Astyanax mexicanus: one gene and its partner. The protein of the gene in region 1 binds, or shares a complex with, the protein of each later gene. Links are inferred from orthologs where the notes say so. Each region holds a gene or a part of one and is shown in the gene's direction. Other genes may lie near its edges.

Region 1 (8,427 bases):
GTTTAACTTTAATTATAATGTATGTACAGTCATAGACAAAAGATATTAGCAACCTTAAGTTTTTTAAGAAAATCATGCATTTCTCCCAGAAAATTATTGCAATTACACATTTTACTATTCACGTGTGCATTTCCTTTTCATACACTTTTTATAAACTTTTTATAATTAATCACAACTCCAAAAATTTTTGAGCATTCCTCAACTTCAACCTCCTAATTTTTTTTGCCTCTATCTTAAGTTCTTTAGAATGTGTTGCACCATCAAAATTCAAAATTAGTGAATATTTGCAAAAATTAATAAAGTTTATCTGTTTGAATATTATATATCTTGTCTTTGTAGTGTATTCAGTTGAATTCAGGTCCCATTGTCATTGGAGGCTGCCCACCACACTGGGCATGTCTACTCATTGTGTCTACTCATAAAGATGGTAATAGCCTTATCCAATTACTTTTATCATAGATTGCTTATTATCTTAATTCAATTAAATTTTATTTGTATAGCGCTTTTTACAACAAAAGTTGTCACATAGCAGCTTTACAGAGAAGAACAGGTCCACACCTCTTATGAGCAGCACCACAGAGATGCCAATTATTGTGGTGACACAGTGGCAAGAAAAAACTCGCTTTAAGAGTAAGAAACAAATAACAAACAAATAACAGAACAAAAGTAACAGTACAAAGAATTAATGTGAGCTATAGCTAAGGTAACAGGCACTAATTTATGAATATAGATAATAGATAGACAGAACAGAAAGGAAAGAAAGAGAAAAAAGCAGGAGTTAGAAATGTTGTGTAATACAGTCATATGAAAAAGTTTGGGCACTCCTATTAATCTTAATCATTTTTAGTTCTAAATATTTGGGTGTTTGCAACAGCCATTTCAATTTGATATATCTAATAACTGATGGACACAGTAATATTTCAGGATTGAAATTAGGTTTATTGTACTAACAGAAAATGTGCAATATGCATTAAACCAAAATTTGACTGGTGCAAAAGTATGGGCACCCTTATCATTTTATTGATTTGAATACTCCTAACTACTTTTTACTGACTTACTGAAGCACAAAAATGGTTTGGTAACCTCATTGAGCTTTGAACTTCATAGCCAGGTGCATCCAATCATGAGAAAAGGTATTTAAGGTGACCAATTGCATATAAGAAATAAGCCATTTCTGCAAGCACAAACGCAATGCCCATACTTTTGCACCAGTTAAATTTTGGTTTAATGCATATTGCACATTTTCTGTTAGTACAATAAACCTCATTTCAATCCTGAAATATTACTGTGTCCATCAGTTATTAGATATATCAAACTGAAATGGCTGTTTCAAACACCCAAATATATACAACAAATTATTCAAATTAATAGGGGTGCCCAAACTTTTTCATATGACTGTAATTCTGATGAGTAGAAGGACAGGGCTGATTCCTGAAAGCTGGAACCACAGTTGGACACATTCAGGCCAGCCGGGCATCTCAGCACATGTGAGAGAGATAGAGAGAGAGAACAGAGAGGGGAGGAAAGAAAAAAGTGGTTAGAATGGTTTTATAAAACTCTGCTGGAGTGGGATGGGCACTTGGAGGCAGCAGCTCTGGACATGAGGGAGAGAAAGAGAAAGCAGATGATTTGGGCAGGGTTTATGTTTGCTGTGTGAGCTGTAAGAGGTATAGCTAGCAGGGAAACAGTAAGAGAAAAATTACAGAAACTGTTATGAGACATTATTCAAAAGCTTGAGCAAATAGAAATGTTTAGACTTAAAGATTGAGAGTGTGTCTGAGTCCTGAATATTAATAGGGAGGTTATTCCAAAGTTGGGAAGCTTTATAAAAGAAAGCTCTTCCTCCTGCATAGTTGTTTCTAATATGCGGAACTAATAACAGGCCAGCGTCTTGAGAGCAGAGTGAACGTGCCGGATTATAAGGTGTAAGAAGTCAGACCATTGAGGGATTATACGTCAAAAGAAGTATTTTATAATCTATACGAAATTTAACAGGCAGCCAGTGTAGGGAGGAAAGAATAGGAGTAAAGTGATCGAACTTTCTAGCTCTAGTGAGCACTCTCGGCTGCATTCTGAACTAGCTGGAGTTTATGAAGTAATTTATGTGGACTTCCAGCCAACAACGCAGTAGTCCAGCCTTGAGGTTATGAATGCATGGTCCTCGTTGGGTTTAGCAGATATGTAAAGTTGCGTGTCATCAGCATAGCAGTGAAAGTTAATACCATGCCTACGGATGATTTTACCCAGCGGTAACATATAAAGAGTAAAGAGTAGTGGACCCAGTATTGATCCTTGAGGGACACCATATTTTACTCTAGACTGATAGGAGCATTCGTTATTTAAATAAACACACTGGAATCGATCTCTCAGATATGATCTGAAGGTTAGGGCAGATACTTTAATTCCTATAAGATTTTCTAACCTATCAAGCAGAATAGTGTAATCTATGGTGTCGAAGGCAGCACTAAGATCTAGCAGTACAAGGATGGCAGTACTGCCCCTATCAAGAGCTGAAAGTAAATCATTAGTTACTCTAAGTAAAGCTGTTTCAGTGCTATGGTTTTGTCGATTTGTAGATGCAGGCACAGCTGCTTAAACATTTTTTTTTTCTAAAGTTTTGGCTACAAAAGGAAGATTAGAAATTGGCCTATAATTAGCTATATTTTTTTTAATTATCACTATCTTTTGAACTGTACATGAACTGTACCACTTTTGGTTGCTTCATGTAACGTCAATTGTACACATATCTAGACTACACTCTACACACTACAGTGTCATTTACTGAGTATGCTTGTTTCCTTAACACTTTGAACATATCTAAACTATGAGATGCTGTCCCACTGACAGAAGCAGATGTTCTTGAATAAATAAAGTCTTTTCCATATGGCAAAGCTGCTGGTCCTGATGAGCATCTAAACTCACTCTCCTGATTCTGAGAATGTTAACAGATTGTTAGAAAAATTTGAAACTTCCCAGCACATTTAATGAAGATAGTATATGTATTATTCTAAAGAGGGTGACTGAAGCGATGGATCCTGCCTTGTTCATTTTTTCCCAGCATGTTGACCAAAAATACTTTCTAGACACTATCAAAGAAAATGTGGTTGGATCGTGGGCAGTCAATGTCTTGCTCCTACCTTCATTCTGCTACAGGTTATTCATTGTGTCGTCTAAGAGATCCTTTTCATAAATTCTGCAGGATGATTCATGTTTGTTGCAATTGTAATCTGGCCCTTCTGTTAGTTTTGTAGAGGAACATATGTTTCTTTTTTTGACGTCTATAAATAGTCTCTGACTGAAAACTTGGCTCTCTATTTTTGCCATTTTTAACCTTTTGATATAATGCTGTAAAATGAATATAGTCCACCCTCATTTAACCATTCTCAACTGAGAATACACATCCAGTGATGCTGGACCACCGCCCAGGTCATGGTTCAGCTTAAAGGATATTTTGATCACATAGATAAAGATCTGTATAAGATCTGTATCTGGACTTGTTCCATGCTTATCAAGACACTTGTTAGGTATGAGGTAAATTAGATATATAGATGATATTGAATCATCTAATTTATTTCATGCAGACATAAAAAATGTAAGTGTCTTGCTTTTTTATTTGTCTGTAGTAAACCCAGCTGGTAAGTGCAAACCCAGCTGGTAAGTGGTAAACCCCCCTGTTTCAAATTGAATCATAATTTATTACATGCATAGCTCTTATGTGCTTTGATTACTATCCATCCACATGAGACATTGAAATAATTAAAACAATGTAATAAATATAAAAATCAGAGCAAATGCAAAAAAAAAACTAAAATAAGTGAAAGAAAATAAAACATAAAATACATTTTATGATCCCCTTTTTAGATATATGGCGGTAACTATAAAATAAAGTCGATGTTTCCCGGTTAAGGGTGTAAAAGGAAGGTTACAAGATAAAGGGTTTTGCAACAAAAAAAACAGTAAGCCTTTACTGAAAAAACTTTTAAAATAGAATTTCAAATTTCAATGTATTCTGTTTTTGTTTGTTTCTTTCACATATTGTCTCTACTTTTTACACTGGGGTTTTAAACACTAAAAAGACAAATTATAGAAATATGAAAGAAAATAGCAGCTGTTCATATATGAGATATGCTTGACTGTCTGAAAATACACAAAAAGTGATGAGCAAAATAATGCTATACTATTTGAGCTGAAGGTAATAGTATAATTGTAAGTTTGGAATGCCCAGTGTGGGATTTATGTGTTAGTTAGTCATAGTTGTTGTCCTGTGTAAAATCTAGGGACAGAAGTACCTCCCTGGCCACAACAAAGAGAAGAATACATTGTTGGGATGGCAGAGGTCCTTCTCTATCTGCCTGGCCTTGGTCCAGCCCCTTTTGCTGCAGATGGACAGAAGATTGTCTGTACAAGTTGGTGCTGCTCCTAAACCAGTTGTTGAAAATCTCTGTTTTCTCTTCAATTGTTCCAGTTTTCCTAAACTCATATTATCCTGTTTTTTACCACTTGCTGCCAGTGAAAAACAATAAAAAGTAAAAAGAAAAAAAACTGTTGACATACTAGCTGGAATGTTGACTGAACTTTTATATTCATTTGAGTTTATTAACTTTTCTGGTCATATTGGTTTACTAGCCTGATTGGCAAGTCTGCTAAACTGGTCATACTGGTGGATCAGTGTGGATCAGGTTCCTGCTGCACATACGGATTGGTCATGATGGTTAATAGTAAATAGTCCATGCTTATAAAATCTTGTTTTTTTTTCAGTGAGGTTGTGCTGTTCACCATAATAAAGTTACTTACTTACATTGCCTTAAGGTAATTTGAGACATTTTTACATTTCAGTTTTAATGAGCATGAGTCAACTTTTCTTTAATGTAACAATTTCAAATTTCCAATACAGGACTCAAAAAAGTTAAAAGACCTAATTTACATAAAATAAAACAATACAAATTTCTTAGGTCAGGCTGAATGTGTAATTCCATATCCAGTAATGTTACCTAATACGTTGTAATGGCTTATACAGAACCTGAGGGCTTAAAAGTGCCCTGCATTTTTTGCTGACAAACTGCTGCGTTTCACACGCGACATCTGCTGGTCAGTATGGAGAGATGCTCGTCGTATTCCAGACGTCAACAAAAGTTAAGATTTTAAACAAGTGATGGTTAGTCAGTGATGATGAGAAAATCACTTCCTAAAATGCCAGAGTGAAGTCTTGCTTGTTTGTGGTTTGTTGTAAACAACACTGAGTAAAAGTGGCTATGATAAAACGCCTGAAATTAGACTTGTGGCGTGTGGGCACAGTAACAGTCACAAGTAGGTTGTGCTCAGTACAATTATGGCTTTGCTCGTTCCGGCTTTTTAACTTCATTATAGACAGACCAAGGTGTGCGGAGAAAACCGCCCTCCGCTCTTCCGTTCCTTGTCAGTTTCTGTCATGGGGGCGAGCGTTGCGCAAAAAACTACGAGCAAGGAGTGGCGCGGGAAACGTTTAAATAGCCGGAATATCACTTTCACTCATCACAACAGCTCAGGAAAGATCTTCTCTTCTTATTTCATGCACCGTGTTGTTTTGCGTTGCTAGTGAGCATGCGTAAAGGCGCTCCCAGCCTGAACCTGCACTCGCTGTGTGCGCTGTGGCTCGCGGCGCTGCAGGGATGTGCCCCCGCGGACGTAGCTCCAAACACATCTCCTCTGCAGAGCACCAACTGGGGCAACCCGAGAAGATTCATCCACCTGCAGACCAGCACAGACCTCAACAACTTCTACCTGGAGATCAGTCTGAATGGTCATGTACGCAAAAGTGCGCGGCGAGGTTCTTACAGTAAGTACATATTTTTTGTGTTATATCTCAGAATTTTAATATTTACGCATAAGGGGAAATGCACGTTTTAATACAGATAGATGACAATAAGTCTTTTCCATATTCATTAGTATTCTTTACATCAACAGGTGTTGTTCTACTGAAAGCCGAGACCAGAGACCGCGTGGCAATATTCGGAGTGAAAAGTAGCCGGTTCTTGTGTATGGACGCAGAGGGGAATCTTTACACTTCCGTAAGAATTTCGTTTCTCAGTCAAACCTTCTTCTCGCAACGTAAAAATCGTAACGGTGACTGCACTCCATTACTATATAGTGACCTACAATGAAAGTTTGCAGTAGTTTAAAAAGTTTTTTATTTTTTTTATTTTTCTGATTTCGGAAAGGTTTGTAATAAAAATTAATAGTGCTGCATTTAAATGATATTTGTGCTATATTGAGTCCCTGATGGTGGGTGGGTGTGTAAAACACAATGGTTGGGAACAACAACAACAACAACAAAAAGACCCAACCAAGCCGCAACACATCCAACATAACCCAAATCCCCCATCAATTTTACCTCGACAAAGACTTACAAAACCCAAAATAATTAAGCCAATATTTATTTTTGAAACTGTACTTGGGTCGCGTACACCACATCCAAATCTGCTGTTTAGTTCTGTAATTGTGTAGTTCTGTGTGTTCCTATGTCGGATCAGGCAGGTGGTCTGGTAATATTATATATGCATGATGATGTACTGTCCAACGTTATATCATTATAAAAGTTAAACGTTTAATTTTGAGTATACCTGTATAGTGTTTTATTTTATTGAAGGGTTTAGATTATGTCATTCAAACGAAACAAACATTTTTTGTTTTTATACTTTTTACCTTTTTATACTTCTTACCTTACCAAGTTATTTTCTGTGTGCATAATTATGTCAATTATTTGCAAAGAATGCATTTAATACATTTAATACCAAAAACGAAACGTTTCGTTTTTGGCATTAAATGTATTAAATGCATTCTTTGCGTTCACTTAAACAATTAACTGCTCTGCTCGATAATTTTAAAACATGTTGCTCCTTTCTGTATATATGTATGCCTACGCTTTCAGAGAATGTGCAGAAATATGTATAAAAAGGACGCAGATCATGCACTAGACCTTTACTTAACCCTGAACACAAATTAATCTTGTGAAAGCTTTAGGAAAACATTCTTAAAACTAATAGATTAATAATTTTGCATATATGTGTATTTATTTTAGTAATGTTTTGACTTTATTATACGTTTATTTAATCTTCTTTGTGGAAGTCACTAAATAAACGAAAAAAAAACGAATCCTTTAACTTATGCCTCTCTCTCTCTCTCTCTCTCTCTCTCTCTTTTTTCTGATTAGACGGTTTGCAATAGAGATGACTGTCTTTTCCACCACAAGCTTCTGGAGAACCATCGCGACGTGTACTACTCCCCCAAGACCGGCCTCCTGCTCGACCTGGACGGCGCGAAGCATCGATACACGGCCGGCCAGAACCTCCCCCGCTCCTCTCTGTTCCTGTCGGAGAAGAACACGGTGTCGCTGGAGCGCCTGAAGCACAGAGAGAGAAAGAACCGGCAGGTGGAGCTCTCTGACCCGCTCAGAGCGCTCGGCTATGAGGAGGAGTCAGACTCCCGCGCGGTGCAGGAGGAGGACGCAGAGCAGGAGCCCTTTGAGGATCGCAATACGTCCAGAGAAGCCCTGCTCTCTCCTTCAGACGATGACCCGTGGGATGCGGTGCACGCCAGGAACCCCAGCAGCCCGCGCATGTCTGCAGTTGCTGGTTAAAGTGCCTCATCCATGTCGGATCAGACAGGTGGTCTCTGCTGTAGCCCAGTTACAGTGAAAAAAAAACACGGTGATCCACCTTAAGAGATGTGCGTTGATTTAACTGTTTCACTTTGTTTGTAATTTTGCACCCAAGCCTTTTAAAACACCAGTATTTATTTCCCATCTCCCACCCGAATCAACCAGACTGGTGCAGGACACCATATGAGGACAGAAATTGTTTACTGATACAAATATTTATTTATTTAAATGCATTAGTTTTTATTTATGTATTTATATGGATGCATTTGTTATGTAAATACATGTGGAAATACAAACTGTACTCCTGTTGCTTTTTTCCTTATAAATAAAAGGACTTTCCCGAATTTTAAGTGCCTCTTGTTCTATGTCTCGAGTCATCTGACAGGAACCTGTCTGTACATTAGATTTTATCTCTCATCTTCCTTAAACCCTTTCTCCACTTCTGACAATTATAGCTTCTATTACAGGTTTTTGTGTTTGCTAAGACCCGATCTCCTCTTTTGTCCAAACTAAACATACAGCTGCTCAATCCACATACACAACAAGCTTAATGTCTTACACTTCTTCTAAAGCAAACACTGCACCCAAAGCTCTGTAAACTCTTGCCAGAATAAAATTTTGGAATAAACTCTACACACACATCTAATGAACAGCATTTACTACACCACAGCTAAACACTCATGAAATAAATTGAAAATTGTACTAGTTTGTGCAGAGCAGGGAGAGCTGTACTAGGAGTTCTCTTAAAAGTTCTCTTTAGAGTTATTTCCAAATTAACTAAAAAACAGGCA
Region 2 (7,464 bases), on another chromosome or scaffold:
ATCATTTGGGGTGTGTTTATGGTAATAAATATGTTTGTGCTATTTTAAAACTATGTGACGCATTTTACTGTCTGTGTAAAACAGTGTGTAAGAATGTGTATTTTACTGTGTGTGTGTTTGAAGGTGCTGACGTGAGTCAGGTCAGTGGGCGTTTCTCTGGGTCTTCGCGTTTACATGCTGATTATAACACTTAGGAGCCAACGGGCCTTCTCCTAGAGTAAATACAGATGGACAGCTACTGAAGGACACACACACACACACACACACACACTCTCTCTCTCTCTTACAGCACCCGCCCCCTCAGCGTGCCTGTGATTAAGACGAAATTTCTCCTCTTTATGGTCTCATAAAGCTCCCAGTGCAAACATGTTTACAGCTGCAGCAGTAATTGAGTCTTTGTTTGGTGCTTATTCTACAGAATTACAGCACTCATCAGCACTTACACACCGCTAATCAGCCTTCCTGAGACACACGTGGGACAGCTTTATGATCCAGGTAGATACGAGGAGAAACACAAACACTTAGGCACGCACTGAGCCGCACACTTAGATTTAAACACAGTGTTTTTATCCTTCACTCAAATCAGTTGGAATTTGTTGTGAATGCCAAAAAAATGCAGTAAATAAAGATTCTCCATTTCATTTACAGTCAGCGTTTGTATCAACTCTGCCATTTGAGCTTCAAAACACATTTTATCAGGCTACTGACTAAAACAACTAAAGCTCAGTCTGCAAATTTACATCTCTGGGACTTTCCTCCAGCTTCATCACTGTCACCGCTTTGTTGTCGTAAAAGCGCAGATTGCTGCTTTGATGAATGGAGAGAAGTGTTCGAATATGACAAGTATCAGAATTAAATATTTAAGCCAAAAGATGCATAAAAGCAAAATACCTTAGACAGCGATTGCAGTAAATAATGCTGTGTTTTAAAGCAAGCAGTACACTAAATCTCACAGCTATCAGAAGTACACTGCTTCTGCTGCAGCTCAGCCTATCAGCTCTCCCTCCTGCCCTGCCTCTAAACCCATACATCACCAATGACCCTCCCAAAATACCTCTCACATTTTTAAGTCTTGTTCAAATTTGAGCTGAGGGTGAAGTCAAAACTTTAAAGATAAACCATAGTTAGGATATTTTGCTAGAGTTCTTTTGAGTTCTCTTGGATCTGGATGGAGCTATTTATCTGGATAGAGTTTTTTTTATATTTAACGATGGCAAGCCTTAATAAGAACAAGCTGAAATGAAATGGGAATAACAAGGCTATTTTTTAAATGAGCAGGAAGTTTAGATAAATGTGTTAAAATGTAAGGAGTAAAAGTAAAACTTTGTCTGAAAAATACTTACTCCAGTAAAGTATAGATAACTAATATTTGTACTTAAGTAAGGTAACAATTAAGCAATAATGCAAGAGTGGGAATGCTTTAACATGAAATATTGGCACTGCTGTATATTACGTGCCAATATTACACGTTGTAGCATGAACCTTGAGTGTATTATTGTGATTATACCACTGTTCGATTATCGCTGTTTATTGAAAGATTTTGAGTTACAAAGGACAAGAAAATATGATTGTTTGACTTTTGGTTATAAACTCTTAGCTAGTTAAAATAGTTCCTTTGCTGCTCTGTTTGTAACTGTGCTGTTTTGGTTTGTAACGGTGCACGTCCACTGGCACTTTCCTTAACGCATGTCGCCATGCCGGATCACTCGACTCACTGCGTGTGGGTGTGGGCGTGTCCGTGATGTTTTTTTAATTCAAATGAAGCAACAGATGTAGTCAATCAAGTAGTCAAAGTTTAAGATTTTACATTTTTAGTAAACCTCACTGTAATCTATAGTTCTATAAATCCATATTCTGCCATTTTTAGCCTCTCTTTTGTGTTTGAAAGGCTTCTGTTCTGTGTGTGTGAGGCTCGTATGTGTGTGGCATAGCAGCCTGCTGTTCCCTGATTGGCTGGACGCAGCATACATAGTGGCCGGACTCATTTGACTAAAGTTGAGATCTGCTGAATTTTTTTGCCTGAGGACAGGGCTGCATTCAACACAACGCAACCCAGCATGCGGTGGGTCTCTCTATTGAAATGAATGGGATGCGTTGGGGTTTAAGTGCCAGAGGAGCTGCATCATTGCTAGGTTATCTGTATGTGGCGGAGCAATACATAAAGCGCTTCAGTTACAGACTATTACCGGCTGATAATGGCACTCATAGAATCTCTTCCAGCCAATCACATTGCGGTGTCGGAACTAACTGTGGAATAATGAAGTATTTGTACCTCCTTACATGACGCCTCTGCTTGCTAGACTAGTAGATTAATTTATCACTGTCACCAAGGGCGTAGGAGCGGGCTTGATATTGGGGGGGACACATTTGCCAATATGAACCCACGCCCACCCAATAGTTTCCTAGAACAACATTTGTGGAAATTACTTTTAATTAAAAGTAAATTATTATTATAAGGTGATTTTACAACCTAAACATGTTACTCCACATTACAGCTACTGTTGTTAGAAAAATTATGCAAGCAATGTCTGAGTTATCACCTAATATTTAAAATAATATAACAGATTATTATTATTGTTATTATTATTGTTATTATTATTATTATTATTATTATTATTATTATTATTATTATTATTATTATTATGTATTGGCATGTCAATTCTGTTGTATATTTACATTTTCTCCTGCACTTTTATTTTTTTCTACTGAGAGCTCTTCTTAAGATGGTGTCCTTTTATGTAAAAGAATGTAACTTTACGTTTCATACAGACTTTTATAAACGTCAGGATAAGTGGTCTTACTGTGAAATACAAATGAACAGAAGTCACGTTACAGCAGTGTTTCTCAACCCAGTTCTTATATATTCTACTGCATATTAAAACTGTTCTGCATATTCTAGAGCTTCCTCTGGTGGATATACATGATTAATTTAGGCTCCATAGGGGGCTAAAGGATTTTAACAGGTAAACTCAGTAAATGACTGTTTATTAGCTGATCAGGTGGAAAACACTAGTTTAGGGCAGTGATCGGGGTTAAGTAACTGCTTTAAACTACCAACTTAAAGTACTGTACGAAATTCGGGCGATCATCTACATCCAGCTTCTAGATAACTAGTTAGTTAAATCAATTTTCGTTCATTATAGCTCACAGTAAGTCCTGTAATCCTAAATGAATAAACAGTTTGAAAATTAAAGTGATTAGCTGATCAGGTACAGGGAAACATTACATATATATTTTATTTTTTTCCTTTAACCCTGACTCCCAATCTAGCTAATTCCAAAGATAAGCTTACACACTAACACAGCTGCAGTTTATTAATCACAGTGGGTTTAAACTGTGTGCTGATTCAGAGACGTGTATTTTTAACCAGCTATCAGAAACATATCATCACAGTTGAAGTGGTTAGCCTATCGTTACCTTTCTTTTAGAAAAATCTCCGTATATCCATATCTGTTTTAAAATCAGCTGAAGCTGCTGCGTCCCGATCCCGCTGCTAAATCTCACAGCGAGGGGGCGGGGCTTCCCCAACAGCAAACTGCCTCTGCTCCGCGCGCCGCAAAACCAGCAAGCTGATTGGCTGTTTCTACTGAGAGGCGTGACTTAATACTTGAACCGGCTCCGTGATTGGTCCGGTCTGTCTCCTCATTAATAGTACAGCTGACCTGAGCGAACTGATATCATTTTTGGGGGGGACAAATCCACCTGTTTCTAATATTGGGTGGGACATGTCCCACCCATCCCCCCCGGTTCCTACGCCTATGACTGTCACTAAATGCACTAAAAGCTCTGGTTGGGGGCGTTGGGACTTTTATAGCCAGACCACACCAGGCCACGGCTAAAGAGCGCTAGCGCTAACTTAATAACACTGTTTATAACAGCATTATCTGAGCTGAGGGTCAGCGAGTGTGGACTCACTCTCTCTCCCTCTCACTGACCATCTGCAGCCTCAGGCCACAAACCCCGAACCGAGAATAGAGAGCAGAGAGCTGGTGCTGGGGCGCAGTTAGTTGTTGGCTGTGCGGTTATCTGTAAGGCTGTGTTTGTGAATTCTTCAGCACAGCACCTTCCTGCGGTCGCGGTGTATAGCTATATCTGAAAGGCACGCGCGGTCCTGCAGCTGCAAGCGGGAGTTCAGCGGTTTGGGATCGCTGCGCGCGGCTAATTTGACAGGGAGCAGCGCGCGCTGGAAGACAGAGAGAGAAAGAGAGAGAGAGAGAGAGAGAGAGAGAGAGAAAGAGGGAGAGGAGCAGATTGGGTGGTTAGATTTGGGCGTGGGGCGTGGTCGTGTTCGTAAACCACGCCCCCTAATTTCTTTCACTCTCTCAGTGAGTCTGTGAGCCCGTGCCCTGTGTGAGCTCTGGAGGGGGCAGCGGCGGCGGCAGCAGCAGCAGGCAGGCGAAGGGACCGGGGGCTGAAATCTGATCCCTCGTGTTTTTTTTCTTCTTTTTTATAAACCTCCCCTCTCCCTCCATCCCTCTCCAAACTGTTAGTGGCAGCCCGTGGCAGGCGGGCAGGCTTTCACACAGCGCGAGGCAGGAGGAGCGCGCGGAGCACGGAGCTCTCTCTCTCTGCTTCTCTCTCTTTACTGAACACGCGCACACCTCCCCGGAGCGGAGCCCCTCAGCCCCGCGTCCCCCAGCGCCCGGAGAGACCTCTGACTGGAACCGGGGGCTTTTCTAGCCGCCGCTTGTTTATTTGGACGAGTTCGCGTGGAGCGGCTTTGCTGTGGAGTGAAGTTTGTTGGATGAGCTGGAGACACGCAGCGCTGAGCGCGAGCGAGCGCGTGAACACCGAGCACAGAGCAAGGTGGACTGGACCTGTGTGTGTTTATGAGTGCGTGTGCGCGTGGAGGAACTGTTTATGGTGATTTGTGCTAACTAGCTTTACCTGCTGAAAAAAAAGGATTACTGAGAAAACGGAGGGAGTTTGGGTAAGTAGTCCTATTATTGTGCCTCTATTTTCACTAAGATTCATAACCTAGCGTTATATTACAGAATACAGCTCTGAGAAAAAAATAAGACACCACTTAAGAGACAACATGATGAGTTTCTTTGATTTTACCTCTGGAATATAATCAAGAGGAAGATAAAGGTAACCCAGGAGTGACATACAGTTATCCAAAAGCAGTGTGTAAGACTGTTGGAGGAGAACATGCCAAGATGCATGAAAAATGAGATTAAAAACCAGGGTTTTTTTATACCAAATATTGATTTCTTAAAACTTTATGAATATGAACTTGTTTTCTTTTTATTTGAATAGAAACTCTGCATACTGTTTGTTATTTCAGACATTTCTCATTTTCTGCAAATAAATACTCTAAATGACAATATTTTTATTTGGGAGAACTGTTGTCAGTAGTTTATAGAATAAAACAGCAATGTGTAGTTTCACTCAAAAATATACCTGTAAGTAGAAAAATAAGATAAACTGATTTAGAAACTGAGTGAAAAGTGGTCTCTTAATTTTTTTTCAGAGCTGTATGTATTTTATCTATCGATTTATGATTCTATTTTCCCTTTATTCCCTGTTTGTTGCTGTTATTATTTTAACTAGCCCTCTATGGCATTAATTATATATATTTGAAAAAATATATATCACCACCACTGCTTTTTTGGCATTATTCCCCTAACAAATGTGGTCTAACCATATACTGTTGCCCAGAGGCAACAAATGAAAAAGAAAAACAATGTTTAAATACGTAAATAAAAATGTCTATATAAAATCATTAAATAGCGACAAATGCTTTTTCTTTAATGTGTTTATGCACAATATTTTTTTTATTATTTTGGTTGTTATTACACCATTCAGTACCATACCTTATTTATTATTTATTTATTTATTTATTTATTTATTTATTTATTTATTTATTTATTTATTTGTATTTTAATTTGTTCCCATTGGGCAACATTATATAGGTCAGTTTTGTTAAAACAGTGGTGATTCAAATAATCAGCTTGTTATCAAAATAATAAAAAAGTGGTCTGAAAAAAAGTTCGGAAAGTTGCTAAATATCTGTTTTGTTTCTCCCCAAAAATATAATCCATGCCATAGAGGGTTGACCTATAATAATAATAATTATTTATTTATGATTTTTTTTATGAGTCAGTAGTAGCTCTAGATTAGCTAAGCATGTGCCTTTTCCTCATTTCCTTGTCTTCAACTCAGACAGACAGGTCTGTTGAGTTTTTTAGGCTGCGTCCAAAACCACATATCTAGCTATTAACTCTAACTACCCTAGAGCTTACAGCTCACAGAATAGTACAAATACTTTCATTATTAGAGTAACATTGAACAACCTTTCATACACAAAAAAAAACCTTCAGTTAAGATGTACTTTTGTTTTATAGTTAGTATAGTCCACTCAGTGTTGTATATTTCAAACATCTAAATCATTTCAAGCCAAGTGAACTGTGTATTTGAGTTGATATCACTCAAATTCACACTAGCTTCTTTACTTAATGCTTTGATATGTTAGGGCCAGTTAACCACTTAGACGTCTAATGACTGAAACATTAACCCTCTGGAGATGCCACCTTTTCTAATGACGTAATTCTACATTAGTGTGTCAGTGGTGACTGTACCTTTTAGCCAACATTAATCCACTTTCAGCAGCAGAGGAAGTGTTATTTTGCCCTTACAGCCTTTATTGATGAGACCAAAATATCGTACAAGCAAACACATAGGGAAAAGGGTAGCCTGGAGGGAATGACTACACACTGAAAGTGAGTGAGAGTGAGGTTGGAAAGACACACCCAATATGCATATATATACAGTATATATAGATGGCACCGGGAGCCTATGGTAAATAATTATTTTGCTGTAATTATGTCAGCTAGTAGCTTTTACAGTACGGTACATGTACAGGAGATTAATGTGGTGTATCATAGTACAGTACTGTGATTTAGGACCTCGCTGTGCCTCATTCAGTCAAAGCCAAGTGATTGTTATTGCGTCTGGAACTCACAGTGCTTTCCCTGAGAGTACCTGAGCTCCTCCACTGACCCAAACAGACTAATTTCTCTTGTTTGGATTTATGTAAAAGAGCTTTTTAGCTTTTAGCATTTAAACATACAAGAAATCCACACATGCGTCAGTTCTGTGAGATGTGCAGGAAGCTCTACAGTCCTCCAGGCTGTAGTATAAAGAGGATGAGTTCTGCTGAGTGTTAATAGATTAATGTCACAGGCTAACTCATTAGTTTAATTTTCCCTCCTGAACTACAGCAACACAAACCACAACAGAGCCTTAGCCGTGAGGCGTCTGATGTAGCTAGCAAGCTTTTTCCTGCTGGGAAGAGACTGTGAGGTGTGTGTGTGTATGAGTGTGTGTGAATGAGTGTGTGGGTGTGTGGCATCTGTCTAAAAATAGCTGTAAGAATAGAAAAGGGCTAATTTGGGCTACTACTTTGTTAGCCAAATATTCCTTCAGAAGTCACTGGAGAAGGCTTGTGTGTTTTTGGTCCAG

What was found.
Region 2: the proteins of fgf23 (region 1) and fgfr3 are in contact, whole or in part, in a cryo-EM structure (PDB 7YSU), measured with the Homo sapiens proteins. The link is inferred for Astyanax mexicanus from reciprocal best matches to the Homo sapiens genes FGF23 and FGFR3. Residues at the interface, in NP_065689.1 of Homo sapiens: Ser29, Leu32, Gly33, Ser34, Trp36, Tyr43, Ala45, Ala47, Arg48, Asn49, Ser50, His52, Ile75, Arg76, Ser77, Glu78, Asp79, Ala80, Gly81, Val83, Val84, His117, Gln118, Thr119, Asn122, Gly123, Tyr124, Asp125, Leu158, Ser159; in NP_000133.1 of Homo sapiens: Glu157, Arg158, Asp160, Lys161, Leu163, Leu164, Ala165, Val166, Pro167, Arg223, Asp244, Leu246, Glu247, Arg248, Ser249, Pro250, Val277, Tyr278, Ser279, Asp280, Ala281, Gln282, Pro283, His284, Ala312, Gly313, Ala314, Thr316, Thr317, Asp318.

What each region holds. Positions count from the first base shown.
Region 1 is NC_064409.1:30,450,310-30,458,736, forward strand, and holds fgf23 (fibroblast growth factor 23), read left to right. Parts: upstream 1-5,362; 5' UTR 5,363-5,580; coding exon 5,581-5,815; intron 5,816-5,943; coding exon 5,944-6,047; intron 6,048-7,189; coding exon 7,190-7,615; 3' UTR 7,616-8,104; downstream 8,105-8,427. UniProt on the Homo sapiens protein: Regulator of phosphate homeostasis. Inhibits renal tubular phosphate transport by reducing SLC34A1 levels. Up-regulates EGR1 expression in the presence of KL. Acts directly on the parathyroid to decrease PTH secretion. Regulator of vitamin-D metabolism.
Region 2 is NC_064414.1:26,189,186-26,196,649, reverse strand, and holds the start of fgfr3 (fibroblast growth factor receptor 3), read left to right. Parts: upstream 1-4,351; 5' UTR 4,352-4,930; intron 4,931-7,464.